Coturnix japonica: one gene and its partner. The protein of the gene in region 2 interacts with the protein of the main gene of each other region in a biochemical or structural test. Links are inferred from orthologs where the notes say so. Each region holds a gene or a part of one and is shown on either strand. Other genes may lie near its edges.

Evidence for each region.
Region 1: the proteins of CDK7 (region 2) and GTF2H3 form a complex in vitro, tested with the Homo sapiens proteins (2 studies listed by BioGRID). The link is inferred for Coturnix japonica from reciprocal best matches to the Homo sapiens genes CDK7 and GTF2H3.

Annotation. Positions count from the first base shown.
Region 1 is NC_029530.1:4,199,914-4,212,104, forward strand, and holds GTF2H3 (general transcription factor IIH subunit 3), read right to left. Parts: upstream 6,271-12,191; coding exon 6,174-6,270; intron 6,033-6,173; coding exon 5,953-6,032; intron 5,589-5,952; coding exon 5,482-5,588; intron 5,168-5,481; coding exon 5,004-5,167; intron 4,764-5,003; coding exon 4,701-4,763; intron 4,466-4,700; coding exon 4,436-4,465; intron 4,124-4,435; coding exon 4,095-4,123; intron 4,011-4,094; coding exon 3,936-4,010; intron 3,495-3,935; coding exon 3,441-3,494; intron 3,138-3,440; coding exon 3,069-3,137; intron 2,964-3,068; coding exon 2,828-2,963; intron 2,748-2,827; coding exon 2,711-2,747; intron 2,631-2,710; coding exon 2,561-2,630; 3' UTR 1,601-2,560; downstream 1-1,600. Other genes in the region: TCTN2 (tectonic-2), read right to left, coding at 1-58, 285-480, 778-851, 1,130-1,243, 1,423-1,501; EIF2B1 (translation initiation factor eIF-2B subunit alpha), read left to right, coding at 6,242-6,281, 6,354-6,455, 6,539-6,675, 6,744-6,860, 7,359-7,471, 7,661-7,729, 8,318-8,393, 8,537-8,662 and 1 more; ATP-dependent RNA helicase DDX55, read right to left, coding at 9,826-9,975, 10,444-10,736, 10,999-11,167, 11,339-11,453, 11,953-12,045, 12,173-12,191. UniProt on the Homo sapiens protein: Component of the general transcription and DNA repair factor IIH (TFIIH) core complex, which is involved in general and transcription-coupled nucleotide excision repair (NER) of damaged DNA and, when complexed to CAK, in RNA transcription by RNA polymerase II.
Region 2 is NC_029547.1:13,173,170-13,185,234, forward strand, and holds the start of CDK7 (cyclin-dependent kinase 7), read right to left. Parts: upstream 6,819-12,065; 5' UTR 6,722-6,818; coding exon 6,662-6,721; intron 6,482-6,661; coding exon 6,422-6,481; intron 5,610-6,421; coding exon 5,576-5,609; intron 4,887-5,575; coding exon 4,819-4,886; intron 4,070-4,818; coding exon 4,001-4,069; intron 3,240-4,000; coding exon 3,129-3,239; intron 1,844-3,128; coding exon 1,725-1,843; intron 1,086-1,724; coding exon 986-1,085; intron 1-985. Other genes in the region: MRPS36 (28S ribosomal protein S36, mitochondrial), read right to left, coding at 7,744-7,761, 8,979-9,154. UniProt on the Homo sapiens protein: Serine/threonine kinase involved in cell cycle control and in RNA polymerase II-mediated RNA transcription. Cyclin-dependent kinases (CDKs) are activated by the binding to a cyclin and mediate the progression through the cell cycle.

The DNA of each region.
Region 1 (12,191 bases), on a different chromosome or scaffold from region 2:
TCACAAGGACATGAGCCCAAGGGCTGAAACACCTGGTTAGGGATGACAGACATGATTTCTGTAAGAGAATTACAAGAAAAGAAGAGAAAATTCAGGTCATACAGACTGGAATCCCAAGAAGCAGACAACATGCATTACAGCCAATCCCACCTGCATATAAATCCTTAAATGCTAGAGAAATTTAATCTCTCATTGCTGTCCAATTCCCAATTTTACTTTTCTTTTTTCTGGTACAGAAAGGGGAAGTAAATACCATTTCTTCCTCAGGATATCCAAGTACTTACCTGACACATTTCCCATAAAGGAAGAGTTGGCATATATTTCAGCTTGAATTATGAGACGTGCCAGCATCGCCGAACCACTGCAAGCTAAAACCTGAACTGTTTCCACCACACAGAGAGGTGCTGTGCAGCAGTCGGTGGCATTGGGCAAACATAACTGGAGATTTCTAGTGAAGGTTACAGTCACTTTGGATGAACCCTGCAAAACACAAAATGATGGATTCAACAGCTTGTACCAAATTACTGTTCTTTGTATCATCACCTGCCGGGAAGCACAGGCAGTTCGGGAAAGGAGAAAGACAAGAAACCAGCATCAAAGCTGCACCTTAGCAACTTCCAACATGGGCATCCAGATGATGGGACATAACAAAGGCAAAAAGGGAAGGCACTCTAACTGAGCTGTCAGTAAACTAATATTACATTAGCACTTCATCAGCCTTTAATATATGATTGCTCAAGCTTTTCTATCTTAGGGCAGAAGCAGTGTTTTACATACCACACCAGCTGTTACACTCAATTCCCAGTCACCAGCTCTTTCATTTCCACCGCAGTTTGGAAGGAGCAAATTTCCTGTATCAAAATTAAAACATAACAAACACATATATATATTATTAATATATATTATATATATATATGTATGTTATCTGTTTCACTGTCACTTCAAACTTCTCATGTGGGAATGGGGCACCAGAGGGACCCTCCCAACTCCAACAGTTCTGTGATGATTCTTTGAACTGCACTGCAGTTATTTGGGTAATTGTAATGACAACAACAACAAAAAAAAGTTAAGAATTCAAATATATTTATTATTTTTCGAAATAGCGGGTAGATAAATAAAGTGTTCTTACCTGTCTCTTTATCGATAGCATCTAAAATAATGGAAAACGTAACTCCTGAAGAATCTCCAAGAAAAAACGAATTGACTCTTAGCCCAGACATGTGGATAAAGGAAGGCTGAAAAACTGGGGGGGAAGAGAAAGTTTAGAAAAGAATCACATTGTAACACAGAAACCCTCAAAGCGCCGCATCTGGGAGGCACACCAGGCCGAGCCCCCTCAGCCCGCACAGGCTGCTGCGGCCCTCTCCCCTCTCATCCCTTCCTTCCCCTTCTCTTCTCCTCCCCTCGCCCCCTCCCACACACCGGGCTGCCCCGCACACAGAGCCGCCAGCAGCAGCGCCCCGAGCCCGGCGGCCGCCATAGCGTCACTGAGCGCCGCCATCTTGAGGCGGCACTGCTGCCACGGCAACCAGGAGGGCGGGAATCACCCGCCGTGCCACAGACCGCCTCACAAACACCAACAGGCCGAACAGCATCCATGTCTGTAAAAAGAACTGCTTTTATTCCAAAAGGTGTTGTAAGAACAGAATTATAGATACAACTTGCAAACAAAGTGGCTCCTGGCGACGAGAACGGGAGCTGATGACAACAACCGCCCTGACCGAAGCCAGATGCACGCCTGGACATGGCACACATAGCTGCTACTCAAATACAAAACACACTGATCTGAAACCTTTCCAGTTTCAAAGCACAGCACTGAAGACTGACCACCTCATGGACATTTACTGATGTCATTTTACAGACATAAACCCCTTCTCACACATAAATGTGGTCTTCTGGTCAAAATTCCCCTGGGAAGGATACCTCCATATTACTGCTCCAGTTACTGAGGAGCAGCTATCCAAGAGAGCCAAAAAGCATAAAGAGAATAAAAACATATGACACAGTGCGTGTGCACGTGCCAAGGAATGAACACCCTCGACAGGAAGGTGTGTTCTAAGCAATCTTTAAACATTTGGCTTTCTTCTTCCGAAGCTGACCCCATTTCAGTGCCCAGACAGACACTGAAAGCTCACAGAACACTGAGGTCCTTCAATAGCGGTGCTGAGGTTCAGTCCCTACACATCAGCAGTGGTGACAGCTCACCTCTGCACCAACATGTGATTAAAAACAACCAAAACTTTATTGTCTTGGAAAATAACTTGGAAGTTTGAAGTTGCAGCAGCAAGAATGCTTCCAAATTTGCAAGACCTGCATCTTAACAACCTGTAACTTCTGGTTCTAATTACAATGAATAAACAGTATTTAAGACAGCACAGATTACCTGCTAACACAGTGATTTGTTACTACATAGAAAAAATGGCTTAAATACTTTAAGAAAAAAAGCAGTAAGACTGCATACAGTTCTCTTTCATATCCTGTAAAAAGTGTCAACAATTGTTCAAGTACATCCCCCTTCATGGAATAACAGGAGCAGTAACGGTGTGTTTAAGTTGCATCGTTAGACAGCTAACTTTAATTTCTTCTTCTTAGCTTTCATGACAGGCGGCAGTGATATTTTGAAGGCAGTCCTGAAATGACATAAAAAGGAACTGTCAGATACAACAAATGCATTCTCAGACCCACTCCTGAAATAAGAAGGAAAACTTACTCGCATGTACTGCAAATTGGACTGAAGTTGCAGAATACTGGAAAATAAAAGGATTGGCTGTCACTAATAATAGCTCATTTGACATGTAGGAAGTTCAACTCGTATTTATAAACTTACTTGACAAGCACACCGAGCATACATAACCAATCTCAATGAGATTTCGATGACAGAAACACGCTGCTCTGTAGTCAACATGAACGGGAGGTGGAAGCACAAGCTGTGATCTTTGCTCTTGATCAGGGAGAAATACCCACTATATAAACAGGGAAAAAAATAGTGTGGAAATGGCTGTATCATCGTGTCAGTGAAGTCAGTAAGATTTCACATCTGACACAGGAAAAAGCAAGTGAAGACATACCAACAAATACTGCAGGAGGGATGGCAGGTGGGGCACTTTAAGGTATATGCCGCCTGTAATGTCACAAGCCTGGAATGCAGAGAGAATGATCAGATAGCTCAGTCTTAACAGGAAGGCAATGGTTTCTACTAGCCAAGGAAGAAGAACAAAGCAATAATAATTTGTTACAGAATAGGAGGGTACAAAAAGACTGAGAAAAAGAGACAGTGTTTCACCAACATAAAATACCTAGGCCTTGTCTCATAGAAGGGTGTAATAATGTCTCTTTTTCTGGTTTGAAAAAGTTGAGAGTGCTTTAAAACACATCAAACTATCTAGCATCAAGTATCTATGAATTAAAGCAAACAGCAAGTAAGAATAGGAAGCTTGTACCTGTTGTAGAAGGCCTGAATCAGAGTCCAAGACACAAGCATCAATCAAAATACTCTGCAAGTAAAGAGACCCACAAAAAAAGGAGTTCAGCTAGGAACAATGTAACCTCATCCATGTTTTACAGCTGCAGGACCACCACAGCAATAAGAAAGCTCATTCCCTTTGTCAGAACAAACATCCAGAATTCTAACACCTCCCTTCTAATGTATGGCAATAAAAGAACTATCAGCAAAGGTATCCTGTACACAGCACCTGCAAGGCGGGACAGAAGGCTACCATCCGTTCTTTCACAGCAATCTCTTATTAGTCCAGCAAACCCTTCACGTTAAGATGTAGCAGTAGGATCTGACTTTTAACCTCGGTTACCTTTCACTCTTGGCATGACAGTCTTCACTCCAGGGATTCTTTAACCAGATCACAGCCATAATGTAAATGAACCATTTTTTTTCACTCTTTATATGCTAATAAAAGATAAGATATATCAAATAGCTTCACCTGTTTCTGTGCTGCAAAGATCACGTTCATGAAATTCATATATTGTAATGCACTGTCTTCTGCAGCTTTTATGACCTAAATAAAACAATAGAGACTTGTTAGCCCATATAGCATTGATGTATTTTAAGGCTAATAGTAGACTAACAACAAAGCTCTTACCAAAATCCTTGATTTCATTTCCTGATTGGCTGATTAGCAAAAAGAAAATAAAAGCACATGAGTACATCCATTCCCTATAGTTGTCCCTACAGTTCTACGATACCTGACATTTTAACTAAGGTAAATCCAATCAATCTAACATCCAAAATGACAGATCTAATGTCTCAGACAATGTGAATGTAAATACTGATAGTCCCAGTGGTATAGAAATACATGTAGAATTATCTGTAGAATAATTCAGACGTTACGAAAGCGGGCCTATGTCATTTATTGCCCCAAAGCAATTAGGTATATTAGGTATATAGGTTCAAATACTCGTGAAAGCACTCTAAAGGCATTACCTTTCACCTCTTTGCTCATCTTGTTAATATCTACATCAGACAACATCAAGGAATCCACACTCTGTTCATGGAAGCACCAGCAGCACCCATGCTATGTACTCACTACCTCAAACAACACACGTTGTTTGATCCACAATTATAAGGCAAATGTTTCAGTTTTGAAAATTATTATAGAATGCACTGATAGTCAAGACTGTATTGAAGGATAATTAGTATGACAAGAAACAGACAAAAGCCTTTAAAAGTTCTGCCATCAAAAGGATACAACAAAGTGCTTTGGCAAGAGACCCTGCTAGGAGAGTCTCTGTTTGCTGGCCCATCATGTCAGCTGCAAAGCAAATTACACAGATTACTCTGATACACAAAATCATTCACTCAGCCTGATCTCACTGAGTGCTACAGTTCAATCTTCGCCATGTTGAATCACTGCAGAGTCACCCAATATCAGCCATAAAAACTCACCTACTCTAAACATATTAAAATCCAAATGAACCAAAGAAATTCCTGCAACTCCCAGAGAACATTTTGCAGTTCTGTGTTATGAAACCCAGAATTTTTATTCCCTTACTTTTCGTCATGAGGTCTTTAATCTCTTCTGCAATTGCATCATTGATTGCAGTTAACAATTCATATTTTCCATCCTTGCTGCCAGAACAATTGGATTCCACGGAGTTACCACCATCTCCAAGGAGATCCGCAGAAGCCCAACGCTTCCCAGGGTACAAGAAACGGCTAAAAGAGAGGAAGAACAAAGTGTTACGGTTTGCTTTTCAGCCTGTAAGGAAGAAATGACATCAGCTGACCACTCATAGACAGCGATATTTTGAAGTAAAACTCCAAATAACTTTAATACTTCAGGCATTAAATAGGGTTCATAAGGCAGGAAATTGTTGTGACACAAATGGTTCACCTCCCTCCTTTCAATACGTTGATGCATTGACTCTGTCTTGCTTTCCATAAGGCATTAAAACAGACCATTTCTTTCTCTACCAGGAGGCAGGGAGTGGACAACACGTCACACTCATGGTGGTGAGCGGCTGCCGTACCTTTCCTGCGTGTGACTGGCCATCACGGCCAGTTTGTTGGTGCGGCTCATGAACAGGTGGGAGTTCCCCAGCACCATCGCTGCGTCCACACATTTCGACAGGGTGAACTGCCAAGGGAAAGAATAATTCAGCAGGACAGCACCTACAGGAACCAACCGCAGAACTGCACTCAGAACTAGAAGGTGCAGGGCTTCCTTTCTAACGGGAGGCATCAGCTGAGCAAAGCTCTGACAAATGCATAACTGTAGAACCAGAGAATCATTTGGAAGGGACCTTTAAAGGTCATGCAGTCCTATTGCCTGCAGTGCTCAGGGACACCCACAGCTCCATCAGTGCTCACAGCCCCATCCCCTGGCTGTGGGTGTCTGCAGGGATGAGGCACCTCCACCTCCCCGTGCACCCTGTGCCGGTTTGATGATACTTTTCACGTTTCCCACCGATGTTTCCTATAAAAGCGGCCCCGGGACGCACCTCAGCCTCCCCCTGCGCCCGCTTCCCCCACCAGATGGGGTTGGTGTCGATGACGATGACCAGCAGGCTCAGCTCCTCGTCTGCAAAACACACAGCGGGTCACTGCAGGGGGCCGGGAGCTGCCGGAGCCGCGGGGGCTGAGCTGAGCTGAGCTGAGCTGAGCTGGACTCGGCCCGGTTCATCCCCCCCCCGTCCCGACCCCCTCGGCCGGCTCCTCTCACCCGCTCCCATCCCGCCGCTGGTGTCGCCCGCTGGTGTCGTCATACCGCACATCATCGCATTGCGCCGCATGGCACCGAGCAGGGCGGGGGCAGCCATGAGCACGGACGGTAATGTGTCTCTATGGAGGGTGTTGTGGGGGCCGGGCTGAGCCGAGTGTGAGGCGGCTCTTTGCCTTTCAGACCTGATCGAGACCTTCAGGGCGCAGCTGAGGGATGACCCCGACGTCGCCTCGGCGGTGGCCGCCATCCGCGCGCTGCTGGGCTTCCTGCGGCAGGACCGAGGTGGGCGCCCATCCCCGGCGGCCGGACACGAAGCGATGTTGGCCCGGCCCCGATTGATCCCCCGCTGTGCCCTGTCTCCATAGGAGAGACCATCCAGGGCCTGCGGAGCAGCCTGCGCGATGCCATCGACACGCTGTCGCGGGTGGACTCGTCCGTGGCCGTCAACTCCGGCGGGGAGCTGTTCCTGCGCTTCATCAGCCTCACGTCGCTCGAGTACTCGGTAAGGAGCGGGCTCCTGCCGGCCCATCTGCTGCAGGGCAGCCGGCAGCAGCGCTGTGTCCTTTCCAGGACTACTCCAAGTGCAAAGAAATCATGATCGAGCGCGGGGAGATCTTCCTCAGGAAGGTTTCTCTGTCCAGGAACAAAATCGCCAAACTGTGTCATCCCTTCATCAGAGACGGAGCTGTAAGTACAACAAGGAGCTGTAAGTACAACAAGGGCTGCTCGTGTCCTGGCTCTGCTGCCTGCGCTGCTGGGAAAGCAGGGGGGTGGTGTTATTATTCCTGCCCATCTCACAGCGTGGCATCCTCTCCTAAAATCTGTAAATACGAGCAACATCATAGAATTATGGAGTCATTTCAGTTGGAAGAGACTCTTATACCTCATGTAGTCCCACTGCCTGCAGTGCTCAGGGACACCCACAGCTCCATCAGTGCTCACAGCCCCACCCCCTGACCATGGCTGTCTGCAGGGATGGGGCACCTCCACCTCTCTGGGCACCCTGTGCCAGTGCTTCACTACCATCATAACTAACTTCTTCCTTGTAACCCATCTAAATTGTCCCTCTTTTAGTTTGAGACCATAACACCAATGGACACTGACAGAAGTAAAAGCCCTGTTCATCCTAACTGAAATGAAGGTTTTAAAGCTCAGTAAGAAGTAACATTTAATCTCTTTTGACAGAGGATATTGACACACGCCTACTCACGAGTGGTCCTCAGGGTGCTAGAAGCAGCTGTTGAGTCAAAGAAGCGATTCAGCGTTTATGTTACTGAATCACAGCCAGACCAAGCAGGGCGAGTATTCATTAACTTGTGCTTCATCTTGGCTAAGAGGATAAACTACAGCCAGCATCAATTCTGTCATAACTTCAAAGCTGCTGGCCTTGTAGGAACATAGATAGTCATGGGTTTCATTCTTTCAGACATTGTTTTTCTATTATCATCTTTAAAGAAAGACTTTTAAGCTTCATTTTTATATAACAGGCAAAAAATGGCAAAAGCCCTGAGGAAACTGAACATTCCTGTGACTGTGATACTGGATGCTGCAGTTGGGTGAGTCTGATCATTAAATCTTAACGTTCATCCCAATTTTAACATTGTTCCATTTAAGTTCCATAGGAGGTTGTTCTAAACACAGGAATTGTTACTTCATTTGTCATAGTCATCAAACAAGCTGAACAAGTGACACTTTAGGTGCATGATTAACCAAATACGCCTGCTGCAGAACTTGTACCTTGATGTTTGCCTATAAGGTCTGACTCCATCAACCTATGCGTGGAGCCTGGGGATATGTGAAGGAGCTGCTGTACTAAAGAAAACTACTTTGATTTTTCTTTCTAAATGTTGTGTTTGTTTTCAATCTAAATGCTAAATTCTAGCATATTTTGCCATGTAATGACTACAGTTGATGGATTTCTCCCATCGCTTACACAGTTGTCAAGGTCAGACATGGCTTGTACCATTCCTGCTGAGCAAGCAGGCGAAAGCTCATTCCAAGGATGTCGAACAACACAGTCTTACTTAACTAACAGCAGCTAAAACTAGTTTAGAAAAGTGAGACTGTTGGAATTCCTTATCTCTGTTCTGTTCAATGAGTCACGTTATTTGCTAAGACTTGGATCTCTTCCCCTTCTTCAACAGCTACATTATGGAGAAAGTGGACTTGGTCTTAGTTGGTGCTGAAGGTGTAGTAGAAAGCGGAGGCATTATTAACAAGGTAAAAGAGAACGCATTGCATCAATCTGGAAACTCTATTCAAATATTCTTGGATATCAATCAGTGAAAGTCTATTATTGGAAACATGGCAATATTAAGTCATGCTAGCATGGAATCTGCACATTATTTTCTGTGTCTCCACAGATTGGCACCAATCAGATTGCTGTGTGTGCCAAAGCTCAGAACAAGCCGTTCTATGTGGTGGCAGAAAGTTTCAAGTTTGTAAGACTCTTCCCTCTAAACCAGCAGGATGTCCCAGATAAGTTTAAGGTAAGAGAAATACAGGTTGCTTCCTGGCAAACTAAGATCCACTTACTTGTTTGTGAGCAATTTTCTTCTAAGCACATCTTCATTTGTTTGGATCTCTCTACTGTAGTTAACTTGACACAGTACAGAGTTGGTCCATGTTCAAGTCAGACCTCCAACATCCACAATTTGTCCTAATACTCTTGTTGAGTTACCAAAGCAATTCCTTTGGGGCACGGGAGTAGCTGCAGGCAAGAAACAGCTACATCGAGACACTTCAGAACTATAAGTTGTATGGTGGATAGAAGGTAAAACACTCGAGACCAAGGTGGCAGCACATGCCTCATTTTAAAGCAGTTGACTTCCCTCCATTTTACCACAGATATCTGCTCAAGATTATAGCACTGCCCCAGCCCAAGAGAGATTTTAGCTCGCAGCTGTGTAATAATTAACGGTCTTGTTTCCTTCTAGTACAAAGCAGACACGCTGAAAACAAGTCAGAATCTAACAGAGGAACATCCCTGGATTGACTACACGTCACCATCACTTATCACGTTACTGTTTACAGACCTTGGTGTGTTAACTCCATCAGCTGTCAGCGACGAACTCATTAAACTGTATCTGTAACTCAATGGACATGGTGTGCAATGTGTACCATCCTCAGTGACTGTCACAGCTGTAAGAGCCTGGGAGGTGACACAAGTGGGGTGGACAAGGTGAGGAGGCAGCATTACAAGGATTCATGTCATTATCAACCTTCAGTTTAAGGCATTACCTGTGGATGAACCACTGTTTAGGAAAAAAAAATGGAAGTTGTTACAGCTTCTGAATTCCTTAAATGAATTATTGGAGAAGAGGGTCAAGTATTTTAGTACTGTAAAATAAAGTAACTTATGGTGCATTCAGCCTCATTCCATAACATGCTGTCATTCACTGATCTGTGAACAAAAAGCCCTGAAATAAATGCACCGAGGGAAAGCTGTAGCTCCAGCCAAATGACACAAGGGCAGTGCCTTTAGCTTTGTTCTCAACTGCAGTTCTTAACTATGCTTATGGAAACCAAGTTTCTTGATGAAGAAATTAAACCCATTCTGTTCTCTGCATCGTTATTTTGTTATAAAAATACAGTTTTATTGGAATAGGGAGTATCTTAATGTGAAAGCCCAGTTAGAATGAAACCTTCAGTCTCAGTCAGCAGCAGCTTCTCTGAATTTACTCTGGCTTCCTGTTAGTCTCTTCTCAAATTCTTCTTCACTAATTTTCCCCTTCTTTAATCTTTTCAAGAGTCTCGTGTCATTCAGCAACTCTTCCATGTCCTCATCTTCCATATCAGAGCCCTGTTAGCCATTGAAATACAACAGATTACACACGACACCAAAGGCTTCATCTCTAGACAGCTGAACACAACAGAATTTTACAACCTAGATTTTGCCAGCAGCATCCAAACAGGAAATTATACTCAAATTCTACCACCAATCTATCAAATTCACTTGTTGAAACACAAAAAAAAGCAACAACAAATAAGAACTATCCAGTGAAGTGCTGCTATATCCCCTACAATCCATGCAGCCTATGAACCTATGCTGGCAGCAATTCACCATCACCTGAGCGATGAGAAATTGTTGCAACATTTGGTTTTAAAAAGCTTTTTTTCCTATGCTTTGCCTGGCAGACGTAGAAGGCTTATTTTCAATAAGTAACCCTGCAGTGTGTCTCACTTCTGTCACACTAAAATCCCGTTGCTCCCTGACTTTTGCAAGTACATTTAGTAACAACACGCAGCTTAAGAGACTGGCATGGTTTACCTCTTCACGCTTCCTTTTAGCTGTTGCTTTCCTCTTCTTCTCCCTTTTGGCTTTCTGCTTTGACCAGGATTTGTTTTTTATGAATTTCTTTTTTCCTCCATTTTCTTCTCTTTCCTTTCTTTGTTGTTCAAGTTGCTTTTGTCTCTGCTTTTCTCTGTTTTTATCTTTAAATGGAATGGAGTCCGTATTAATAGTGACTGGAGTAAAATCTGGAAAACATTTTCCTCTTAGCTCAGGCATTTTCGGCATCTTTAACAAGGCGAAGCCTTTAGCAAGACTAGCAAAGTCCAGGTCTGTTGAGATAAAGATTATAAAGTCAGTTTCCTGCTGGATAAAAAGTGAACTTACAAAATTCCAGGCAAAAAAGATGATCCTGAAATTAGTATTTAATAGCAATGACAATATGAGGTCACATTTACACTTAGGTTTGCTTCAGTCAGACTTTGAGAACAGAAAGGAGCAGCTACAGACAGTAACATCACGGGGGCTTTTTGTCAAACTGAACATTATCTTCTGAAGAACAGTAAAAGATCCCCAGCTCCTGCTGGGAATTACCTTTAATTCGGAAGATCAGATTGCATTCATGTTTGGCGTAAGCCTGGATGTAAGAGACAAATGCTTTCATCCCCTTCTCAAACACTGCCCTGTCAGCGAGAGCCATAGACTTCAGTTTTGGAAGAAGATCTAACACGTTTCTCTGTGGTTTCATTTCCTGCATGGGACACTGAAAACCAACAAAGGAATACAAAAAGAAAGGCAAAGTTCAGCTGAATGATTTGAAACGTGCTCTGAAAATTCAAACACATTTCTTCTCCAGTTAATCTTCAGTAAGTTTTGGTCACCTTCTGGCTCCCCTGCCCTTTGCTGCGTAGGGTTAGAATAAAAGCCTACTGACCTTTTGATTGATTGAGAGAAAGTTAATATAAGATTCTTCCATGGGAAGCAAAAATACAAGTGCACTGCCAACATTTCCAATCCGTGCTGTTCGACCACAGCGATGCACAAAGGCACTGAAATAAAACAGGGATAATTTAAGGAGAGATGCCTGGTCTGACTTTAAAGCATTTGTGAGCAAAAAGGACAAATCTGACAGAATGGAAAACCTGGAGTATTTTCAAACTAAACTCATAATTCAGCTACAGGAAAATGATGACAATACAAGTAAAAATAAGTGGGAAACGCTCCCCTCATGTGAACTCTCAGTGTACCATCCTTAAATAGCTCCACCCCAGCTCTCTGCACTCATTCACACCCCTCAGCTTGTTACCCCCGTACTCTCACACTAACCCTTAGAATAGAAAGCCCCTTTGTGCAAGTGGCAACCACCTCTTTTACTTCTGCACATCAGGCCTACAAAGCCAATCAACTTCACATCACTTACAACTTTCTTGTTTGCAGGTAGCTCAGACTTCCAGACAACTTTGTGCTTTTTCCACAGCTGTGTGTTCCCCATTTATACCTAAACATTACAGTAGCACGAGCACAGGTTGGTGAGATCTGAAGTTGTACCTTGCACTGCTAGGAGGGTCATACTGTAAAACCCAGTGTACTTCTGGGATGTCAATGCCACGCGCCATCACATCAGTGCAAACTAAAATCCCACTAGGAAGAAGAGGAAAAAAAAGCATTTTTTCACTCAATTGTCATTTAAGGAAAGCACCCTGTCAGACACTATTAAATCTCTCTTACTGTTTGTGCTTTTGCCTGGAGTAACCTGCTTGGTTCTTACCCCGGGAGCCTTCGGAACT
Region 2 (12,065 bases):
GTGATTACCTCCACAGGAACAGATTTCTATAAGCATGGCATGCAGGCTCATGTTCAACACTGGGAAAAAAGCACAGCTAATAGCGGTGACTACACTGGAAAACACTGTTTTATAGCTAAGATTTTGCTCTACCAAACAATTATTGTGCTATTTGTATTAGTTGTTGTTTCCATGGAAATAAACAGGAGTCATCACTTCTGTAGCATTCCACATATGCAGCCCAAGATTATCCCTGTTCACTCAACATGGCCCAGGCAAGCCAAAAGGTTGGACACCTGTGGTCTAATCTATGTTTATGCATGCACTACTGGTGCACCCCCCACCTTCATTTCCTACTTTCATGTTTTCAGAAGAGCTACGTAACAGACTGCTTACTCCTATAAAGCCTATTTATGGATGATTACATCTGTGTATCTTATGTAGGAGTGATATTATGTAATCTTGACCATCTTCAGCTTCACTCCAGCCTGTGAACTAGACACATTTTACAACAACAACAGAAAATTTTCAGCTCATTACAAATAAATCCACAGTTGATGTACTGGTGGTAATTATTCCCAATTATTGGGAAACAATTTATGAAAAATAAGAATGTACATGCACACCTACTCTGCCAGATTTTCTAGAAATATCATAAATGAAAACTGATGAATGGCTGCGTGAAAGGCAAACACCAAGAGGACTGGAAGAGTAACTCTTTAATCACCTTCCCCAAGGCAGAGCTGTGACACTGTGTTGTACTTTTTCGCCTACCTGTTCTTTAAAGTTTCCATTAATTGTAATGATTTTGGAATCTCAGCTTATGTGAAAAATTTTGTTTCCTTACAGGTAGCAAACTTCTGGGAGGTGTTCCCTCCCTGCTCCCTTTCATTACCTCCAAGAAAGTAGCTTAACTTTTTATTGGTGACAGTACTGCAGGGCAGAAGAAACCTACAACTAAGACGCACTGAAGAAAAAATAAAAATTCTTACATTTGAAGACTTACCCTGAGAAGCAACTCAGCTAGAATACAACCAACAGCCCACATATCGACACCAACTCCATACATTCTAGATCCAAAGAGCAGTTCTGGAGATCGGTACCACCTGAACAGAAAAAATATTTTAGGAAAACATCCTGGTATCACTTGATGTCAAGTGCTGCATGCTGCAGCAGTGCAGTAATTACAAAAAAAAAAAATTAAGTGTATTTTTATTATTATTTATCTTTAATAAATGTTACTTTAAGACACAATTCCTTTCAGCTTTCAAAAACATTACTAGCAACAGACTTATAGATTAATTTTGTGCAAAATACATCCTGGCAGCAATTATTTGAAGCTGTCGGCAAAACATACACTGCATTTCAAACAACAGTTTCACTGATGCCTTTTAATTGAATGAAGATGTTAAATAGTTCCACCGTATAGTTTCAGCACTACAGTAGACAAAGGAAACCTTATCTACTCTGTCTCTCTGAAAGCTAGATTTATAGGTAAATACATGTTAATTTCATGTGCTTCAAAACCATATCATTTCACAGAACAACCATCAGGGACATAAATTCCAACCATTCTTAGAGAGACTATATTAAAAAGCACTTTATTATGCTTTCTGTTATGAAACTTTTTGCCACTATAATCATAGCACTTGAGCTAGAAATCAAACTTTAAACATGTTGTTTTAACATGGCGTATTCCACAAGGTAACATGTAATAGTTACCATCAATCTAAGAAATGTCTTACCTTGTTACTACTTGGTGTGTGTAAACTCTGTTTGGGCTTCCAAAAGACTTTGCCAAGCCAAAGTCAGCTAATTTCAAAACACCATTTTCATCTAACAACAAATTATTTGGTTTAAGATCCTGTCAGGGCAGAAAGCAAAGAAGGAATCCTGTCATTGTTAATAAAAACAGACATACAGCGAACATTTCAGCAAGAGTACAGTAACAGTATTCTAAAACCTACTCTTCTGAGTATATTTTGATTTTTTATGCTGTGATGAAGAAAACAAACAAGACATCATTTCCACATAAACGAAAATAAAAACTAATCATACATCTCAATTTGAATATTAAGCTATTTAATTTCCAGAGTTCAAAAACACAAATTTATGGTAGGTGTTTGCTTTGCTGCAGGAACATTAGTTCTGTCTTACTGCACTGTTAAAAAAAAAGAATAATATAATCCCTAATTTTAATGACAGCTGGAGATGTCATGGGATTGGTATAGTTCAATACAGCAACAGTGTTGTGGGTTGGCCACAGCCAGCAGGCACGTAACCATTGCTTGCACTGCCAACTCCTCACACCCAGGTGGAAGACAAAATTTACTTATATCCCAGCATTGTTAATTATCATTATTATTATTTTACACTGTTGTACCACTGGCAGCATTTTTCGGGGCCACCTGGGTCAGCTGCCCCACGTGCTGCATCCCTTCCCAATTTCTGGCCCACTCTAAGCAGATTTTGTTGGGTTAGAGGCAGAGTGGAAAAAGGCTTGACAATGCGCAAGCAGAGTTCAACAGATTGAAAAATGCCATTGTTTTAAGCTACAAATTCAAAACAGAGCATCATGCAAACTCCTGTGTAGAAAGTTAACTTCATCTAAGCCCGACTAGATCACAATTCTAACCAAAAGTCTCACTTGAGACTGTGAACTGAATCCTTCCGTGTGGAAAGAAAATGAATATTCTCACTGATACTTGCTGAATGTTTATGGAGGCCAAACACTGGATGTGAACACAGTGAAGAGAAGGGTGGTGTGTTTCACCAGTAGAGACAGTGGGTGATGTCTGCTGGAGCAGGTTTTTATGAATGTGGTATGTAGGCTCTTGCTCATTGCTGATGAAAACGGTGCTGACACTGTTTTGTAGCTAAGAGTTTGTCCTGCCATATAGAGCTATTGTGCTTTTTGTATTGTAGTTTCCATGGCAATTAATAGAAAGCACTACTTATGGAATGATTTACACCTATAAGCATCTACACAATAGATGTCAGTAATTCTTAACATTTCTAGTGTTGCAATTGCCACTACTCAACTGCTAGAGCAACCCTATGCATTCTAAACCAATGAAAGCCAGTTTTCAGACTAATTCAATCAAAAGTGATATTTGTTATAGGAATAAGGGCATTTAGAGCATGCTTACCCTGTGCAGAATCCACTGTTGATGTAAATACTCTAACCCTTGAAGTGTCATCAGCATATACGCTTTGATGTGAGACTGTGTTAATACAATACTAGTATCCTTGATAATAACCTGCAAGTGTTAGATTGATATGGGTAGACTGGTAAGCACAAAAACTTATAACACAAAATTATTCAACTCAAAAGTCAGTTTATACTTTAGGATAAAGCTGGAATTTGTAGCTACATATACATGTATAATGGGTTAATTTCTTCCAGAGCACAGATAATGTGAGCATGTACAGATTTGACACGACAGTCACCCAAAACGTCTTCTCAGCAGTGCTCCAAAATGAAGAATCTGCACTAAAGTATTCAATAAAAAGGTACTGGCAACAGACAAGCTAATGAAACATCCTTAAGATTCAGGCCTGCAAGCACACGCCACTGTCAAATTTAAAAGAAGGGTTCAGGAGTATGTGACTTCTAGTCAGATAATTACTCGGCATACTTGAATAATATCACACTTACTTGAGCATGTTTTACGTTACTGTGCTTAGCAATTGCATTCTGAGATCCTGGCTTATGATCAGTGGTTCTATGCTCTGACTGAAGCCCTAGAAAACTAATATAGTAAACATAATCCGTTTCTTGATAAAGGTGCTGACAGAAAGTACTTTAAAGGCATTTTCAATTGAAAATACTGTCTCACTATTCCAACTCTTTTAAAGGTATGATCTTAAATTACATAATGAAAGAATGAGACAACTTTCTAAAAAAGAAATAAAAAACACACAGTAACAGTAAGGCTATGAAAATATATTTTTCAAAATGCATTTTCAAAATGTATTTGAAGATATTGAAATTTATTGAAATTATCTTAATTTGACTTACCTCAAGGTCCGTTTCCATAAAATCAAATACTAAGCTAATATTAGATTTGTGTCCAAATGCATCTAACAGCTGTAAAACAAAATGTGCTATGATGAATGACACTCTCATAATTCCCGTTTCCTAAAATTCCATTCTACTTTAGTTTGCATGTGCATTTTCAATTTACTGGCAGAGACAAACAGGCACAGGGCTACTCACTGCCTAGACCTCATCATCAAGAGGAACCCTAATCCACCTGCTCACACCTCACACAGGTGGAATCCCTGCCACCCTCCCCAGGCAGCAGCAGGCTCAGGCACTCCCTGCAGCCAGAGAACAGCTACATTTCTGGGCAGGCCCTCTGTCTGGGTTGCCAAAATCTTTCTGGAATAAACCTGCTTTCTGATAGAGAACATGTTTAGGCCTGCAGTCCCAGAGACTTTCCAAGAGGAAAGCTAGTCTCCTGAGCACAGACTGACAACATTTACATTCATCACCACTTGATCCACATCCACAGCACTGTATGGGCAGTGTGGGCTGTGCTCACTCACTGAACCTCCCCATTCTCAGTGGGCAGCAACAATGGTTACTCACCTGGTAGCTCACCCTAGGATACTTTAAGCTTGTTATCAGGTGCAAACAATAAGGACTAGAGTTTAAACTGTGCCGCTAATGTGCCAGCTCCACCCTTGCTGACTCAGGAGCCAACCCACAAGCTGGCAGCTCCCCAGTACAAGCGCAGCCTTTTTTACTTCAGATCCCTTGTTCCAGATCCCTTTCCCAGTGCAGTTTTACCTTCTCTGAAGCCAGTCTCTGCAGCAAAAATTCACTGTACTTACACCAATAACATTCGGGTGGCTTAGTTCCTGTAACAATTTTATTTCTCTCAGCGCTGTTCTGTTGATTCCTATATTGAAAAAAATAATTAAACAGAATATAATTAATAATTTCAAGTTAAACTCCAGCAAAGAAACCTCTTATTCTGTTGTTCATTGATTACTTAATATTACAGTCCTTTTCCTCAGCACTCATGTATTTGTTAAAGCCAAGCAGACTGTCACAAATACATAGACTGCTGCAGGCAAGGTATGAATAACAACTAGAAGATATAGATTATGAAGGAAAATACACATCCCTTTGGCTTACTGGCAAGCAAACACTACTGCATTATGTTGTGCAAGATGTTTTGCCTACGCATGAGCTGAAAAACAGTGTTATTTCCATGGTGGTTTCATTCAACATATAAGATTCCAGCGAAGATTTAGATGCAAAGATCTTGATGGCTTAGTTGATACTCTGCCTATTTTAATTCCTTCTTTAGAAAAAAAAAAGAGACAACGTCCGCTTTCATGTGGACATATTTTTTATATTCAGAAAAAAAAGTATGCAAGCCAATATCATTATTCCATGCTATACTTGTGATTGGGTTCCACCTAAACAGTCATATACGCACAGTTAAACATACAGTATGAGAATGCTGTATTTCGGATGTTATTTTTTCTGTCCCTCTAGGTTGGGAAGGAATCAATCACCCAATCAGCAGAAGCAAAACAAACAAAGACAGCTTATACAGCATGAACTTGTTTTAACACTTACCATCTTTAGCTTCTGATCGATGTCCCAGTTTAATCTGAAAATAAGTGCCTCATATTATATAAGGTCAAGTCACAATCCCCAACAGTTTAGTTGTTTAATTAAAAAAAAAAAGATTAAAATAAGTTCATTAAAATACATTAACAATTCTGAATATCTTACAAGGGCTGCTCTGCAAGTAATGCCTCCTATGTTAGTGGTCTATGATGTCAGAGGCGGATGCTAGCATGGCAGTAAGAGGCTGAACCTTCCCATTACATGGTGTTGTTATCTGACAAAAGGGCAGCGGGGGGTACTCTGACAAAACGACATCTGACATGGATGCACAGAGGAAGCAAAAGTGTGTTGCTGAATTTCTCCATGCAGAAAAATGGCACCTAATAACATTCATAGAAGCTTGCTGAACATTTATGGAGATCAAACAGTAAGTGTGAGCAAAGTGAGGGAGCAGGTGATGAATTTCAGCTCAGGTGACAGCAACAGCAAGTCATCCCCACTCATACAGATTTATGGCAACACAGCACGCAGGCTTTAGCTCATTGCTAGTGAAAATGTCTAATTAACGGTGGTGTCTATGCTGAAAAATAGTTCTTGGTAACTTAGAGTGTGCTCTATCTGCTATAGTTTCCACAGAAGTAAAATGGAGGCACTGTTTTCAGTCCAGCACAATTCCACCTCTCCCAGCGTAGCACAGGACATTAAGGCTGGATACCCATGGACTACATGATCTTCTTTTCCAATGTACCAATCCTGTGAATTCTCACACACTACACACGACAGCAGTTCAACAGAAGCACCGTGCAGGACAAGGCTCCCAGTGACACCACAGCGGGGTGTTCCAACACTCACCTTTTTGATAGCAACGATCTGACCCGTGTTCTTGTCCTTTGCCTTATACACAGTAGCAAACTAAAGGGAGAGAGAGAAAGAGACGCGTGACCACGGCGGCAGGGCAGCCCACAGCCCAGAGCCAGAGTCACTACGGTGGGTGAGCGGGAGGGCGATCGGCCCGGCCAGCCACGCTCCCTCCCGCACCCAGCCGCCCCTCAGAGGGCCCCGGCGGCCACACCGCACCCACCGGCCGCTCACCTGTCCCTCCCCTAAGAAGTCTAGTTTCTCATAGCGCTTAGCACGAGCCCGCGCATCCATGGCTGCCAGCTGGGAAAAGCAGCACAGCCCTAAGGCCGGAGAACGAGGCACAACGGAAGAGCAGCACGGCCCTTTATCGGCGCCCGCCTCCAGACCCGCCTACCTGCACCATGAGCGCGCAGCCTGATGCCGTCAGCTCGGAGGCGGGTACTAGGAGGGCTGCGGCCCGGCACACGCTGTGCGATGCTGCTCGTGCCCTGATGGCTGTGTGTGATTAGCTCCGGAGCGGGCAGCTGCCCCACAGAGCTCATTAAGGAGGTTAAACCATGTCCTGGCTGAGTCTGTGATCATGAGGAACGGGGGCCTGACAAAAAGCAGAGTGGGGATCCTGAACTTCAGGAGAATTAACTTATTTAAAAGCAGCTTATTATAAACAGGACATCGTAGGACTTTTTATATAGTCTGATGATGACAGGACACAGAGAAATGGTTCTAAACTAAAAGAGGCGATATTCAGATCAGATGGTAGGGGAAAACTATCAACTCGTGTTGGGGGTTGGAAGGAGTCAAAGAACTGGAAGAGTTTGTCTGAAGAAGGTGTAAATGCCCCCATCCCTGGATGTATTCAAGGCCAGACTAGCTGGAGCCATGGGCAGCCTAATCTAATGGGTGTCAGCCCTGCCCTCAGCATGGGGCTGGAAATAGATGGTTTTTAAGGTTCCATCCAAATCAAGCCATTCTGGAGTCTCTGAGTGTGTCTATCTTGCCCATGAAATCAGCCATGAAAAGACCTGTTAACAAGGAAAATAAAGCAACTCAATTTGTTCTACTGCCAAATTCATAGAATGGCTAGTTAGAAAAATACTCTAATGATGTAGCCATCATTTGCTATTAGTCATCAACAGAAAATCTCTCATCACCAATTAATAGTGCTGTGTCAACCTTTACACCTTCACATAGGGTTTTTATTAAAGCTATCAGTATACCATTATTTATAATATTAAGGAAAAGCTTTTATGATGAACACAATACTTCTTTCTTCAACAGTGGTGATATCTGTTGGTGGCAAATATCTTCCGTACTTATTCTGGACCTCCACGCTGTAAAGCAAAAAATAGACAGAGTTAACTATTTTCCTCTAAAAGAAAGGGAAATTGATATCCAGTCTTCTTTTGCAGTTATAGATTAATAAACAAGTCCTAGATTTAACTTCATTTTTACGCTTTGATTTTTAATCTGTAATGGAACATGCTACATGTCAGAAAAATCATTGCCTGTCATTAATAGCTTATTGTGCCTGATGGAATAATATAAACAATATAAAAACCTCTGCAACCTATATTTGCAGCTGCTCCCTATCCTCTCAGTTGGAAGAAACATGACACTTAGTGACTCTGGAAAGATGAGACAAACAGCCGTAGTAGTAGCTTTGGATTTTTTTTTTACTGCCCAAATTCCAAGGGGCAAAGTAAAAGCAAAGCCCAAGAAACCCACTATAATCTTTATGAGAAATCAGAAATTCACTATTTTGACAAAGTTATTTAACAACTTGCCTTGTGGTTAAAAACAAACAAACAACAAACCAAAAACAGAGGTAAAGAAGTATGTAACTACAGGAAAGTGATTGTTTTATTTTGAATTTAAATAGTCACCCACTTGCACGCTGAAATATAGATTTCCGCTAGTACCATTATACCCTTTAAGTGTCCTCATTTAAGAAAGCTACTGTCTAGCTCTTCAAATTCTGTGCACTCTCCCTTTTTAAGTAAAAATGTTTTCATTTGAAAACTCTTCCAGAAGAAAAGCAGTTCTGCCTTGACTTTCCCATGTTATGCAGCAATTGCAAATATTTTAGGCAATACTTGCATCAAGCTTAACTAAAATGCTCCCAACTGTTAGAAGTGCAAAAATTAACTTCCTATTACATAACAGTTTCCAAACTAGTTTTTATGAATTTTGTACTTCAGTCACCTGGCAAGAGCATGAACAGCATTCTGTGCTCCCATATTCAAATTATGCACTAAACAATGGTTATAAAACAAGAAGGGAATATGCTTAGTGTAGGCTCTACCTATCACTGCCTTTCTACCTTTGCTTTAAATATGGATCCTACAGTGACAACACAAGCTACTAATTAGTAAGAGCTGTGAACCTCCTTCATCAAGGATTTGTTGTTTTGGTACTGCGTATCAACACTGCAAAAGCTCTTCTTAACAAAAATTACAATCTATTATCTCATGTGCAACTTTTAAGGACCTGCAGAACTACAAAGAAGGTTGGGTAAATAAGAGAACACACAACAGTTACTGAGACTTACTTGAATATATTCAATCTCTTCAGCTGACATAAGTTTCCTTCTGTATTTTTGAGGTAAGATTCTTGCTAATTCAGAAGTGTCTGGTGCACCATGTGCCCTACTAGCAGGTGAAATATTTTGAAAGGCTTCATTTGAAGCATGAGGTGACGGAACACTTGCTTGTAGAGATTCCTGTACTGAAACCCAGATTGAAAAACAATGTAAAGAAATACAACAAGATTGTACAGTTAATTAGATGAGTGGCAAATAAGCCACTGACAATTAGTTGTGTCCTAACATATATTAATATACTCAACTGACTCAACTTGTTTTTACTGTTACTAAATACATCAAAAGCACAATGAAAATATTCTGAAATTAAAAGATAGTATATTCAAGTGGAAGAAATATTAACACGGAAAGAAAAATGAAATCAGTATATGTCCTAACAAAGGCTTTTTCTCCTGTGGGAAGCTTTCCTTGCAGAGAAAGTATGAGGTATCATAATTGTGTTGTGGAGAGGGTAATGCAGAATGACAGTTCAGATGAATAACCAAGGTCCACTGAGGTGATGCTTTTGTCTACTTGCAATTGTAAAGGTGAAAAAGAGGCAGAGGCTTACAGAAAGGTGAACATCACAACAATGACATACACGTGCAACTCTGTACCTGTTTCTAATATTATACAGCAGGGCAGTGTAGTGTATCAAATTATGTCAGTAATGTGCAAAATGAGGATCACATATTGAGCATGAGCAACCAAACTGTTAATGAGATGTAGTGACCAAGTAGCAGGACTGAAAAGTATCAGACCTAGCACTGTAGTTGCTTTAGCTCATATACTGTCTGTTTGGTGTTTTTTTTTCCTCCCCTGTTTGACAGCATAACCCAATAGTAATACCATAAAATAACTTGGCTGGCCTTTGAAACATAGAGTTTCTAACAGCACAGCCTTGATCTGCAACATTGTTTGGCTATGTCCAAGCAGCAGTCTGGTATGGTGAAACACAGTTACTGCCATAGACTTCCAGCAAATGGAAAAAAAAAATACAAGAAAAATACAAGAAAAAATGTATAATGGCAAAATTCTTCAGATGCAGAGCTAAACAAGATGTAAGTAACGTGCTTTTTATGCCTCCGAGAAAGCAGTTGGCATGAGAGGTGGTGTGAGTGACAAAGTTATCCCCCAAAATAGTTCCTGACTAGTTCACAGGTATGGCAGAAGTGGCACTGATAGGCACTGTAGGTACTTTGTAATGCTAATGGATAAACTAATAGAAATAAAAGAATATTTAGATGTCTAAGCAAGCCTTCCAGGAGATAATTCTGGTGCTGAAAACTTTGATGTATCAGAAAAAAAAAACCAAAAAAACCCAAAAAAGATAAAAATCAGTAGTGAGCTAAAAAAGGTCAAAACAACCATAAATTCTGAACGAATGAGAGCAGTGTAAGACATCTTTGTAAGATGCTTGCTATTTTAGTAGGACACTCGCTATTTCAGTTTCAAATGCTTTATTGACTCCAAAGAAAAACAGCATACAGCTTACATAGCTGTGATGTCTAAATGTAACTGTACTGGAGATGCTATAAATGTCAACGTAACTATAGGTATAGATTGATGTCTCAAAGATGGCCATGAAAATATATATATTTTCTCCCCTCAGCAGTAATTAGTAAGACCAGGAAATGTTTATTGAAATGTACAGTGGGGTAGCTCTGCTACCTGCAACCAAGGTTTTCAATACCACAAACATTAAATACCACAAAAATCAAGAAAAGATGGGATGAGGAAAATGTAACAGCATTTCTGTAATCACTGAATGCTTAAAGCTGCTTTAAACTGACCTTGACACAACCACTTCAGAAGAATATGACCATGTGCAGAGAAGAGACTTTGTGTGAGTAGGAAATCTTAAAGAATCTTGTCTAACCAAGAAACAGATGCAAGAAATAGACATGTATTATGTCTATTCCGCCTGTTGTAGAGGAGACACCACAGTGACACTGTAGAGATGCAATGAGGAAGGCTAAGGCCCTCTTGGAATTAAACCTTGCAAAGGAGGAAAAGGATAACAAGAAAGGTTTTTTTAAGTATGTCAACAGTAAAAGGAAGACTAGGGAAAATGTGGGTCCCCTACTAAATGAGATGGGTGCCTTGGTAACAGCAGATGCTGAGAAGGCAGAGATTCTGAATGCCTTCTTTGCTTCAGTCTTTAATGCTAAGACTAGCTCTCAGGAATCCTGGACCTTGGAGGCAAGAGAGAGAGGCTGGGAGAAAGGAATAGTTTCTGTAGATCAAGGTGGATCTGGCCAGAGAGCACCTAGCCAAAATCCAACAAAAGACAAATCCATGGGCCACAACAGGATGCACCCACATGTGCTGAGAGCTGGCAGAGGTGATTGCTGAACCGCTCTCTATCATCTTTGAAAGGTCTTGGCAAATGGGAGAGGTGCCTGAAGACTGGAGGACAGCCAGTGTCAGTCTTCAAAAAGGATGAAGAGGATCTGAGAAACTACAGGCCAGTCAGCCTCACCTCTGTCCCTAGAAAGGTAATGGAACAACTTATTCTGGATGCCATCTGCAAGAGAAGTTTATCAGGAGGAGACAACATAGATTCACCAAGGGGAAATCGTGCTTGACCAAGCAAAAGCCTTCTATGATGCCATCACTTTAGGTTAGGTAGATGGGGGGTGGGCAGTGGATGTGTACCTTGGCTTCAGCAAGGCATTTGACACTGGTCTCCCACACCATCCTTACTATGAAACTTAGAAAATATGGGATAGATCAGTGGACAGTGAAGTGGACTGAGAACTGACTGACTCGCAGAGCTCACAGGGCTGTTATCAGCAGTGCAGAGTCTGGCTGGAGGCCTGTAACTAGCAGTGTTCCCCAGGGGCTGGTGCGGGATCTGGTCTTGTTCAACATTCTCATCAGTGACCTGGATAAAGGGATAAAGTACACCTTCAAGTTTTCTGACAATACAAAGCTGGGAGGAATGGCTCACACACCTGCAGGCTGTGCTGCCATTCACCAAGACCTGGACAGACTGGAGAGATGGGAGGAACGTGATGAGGTTTAACAAGAGCAAGTATAGAGTCTTGTACCTGG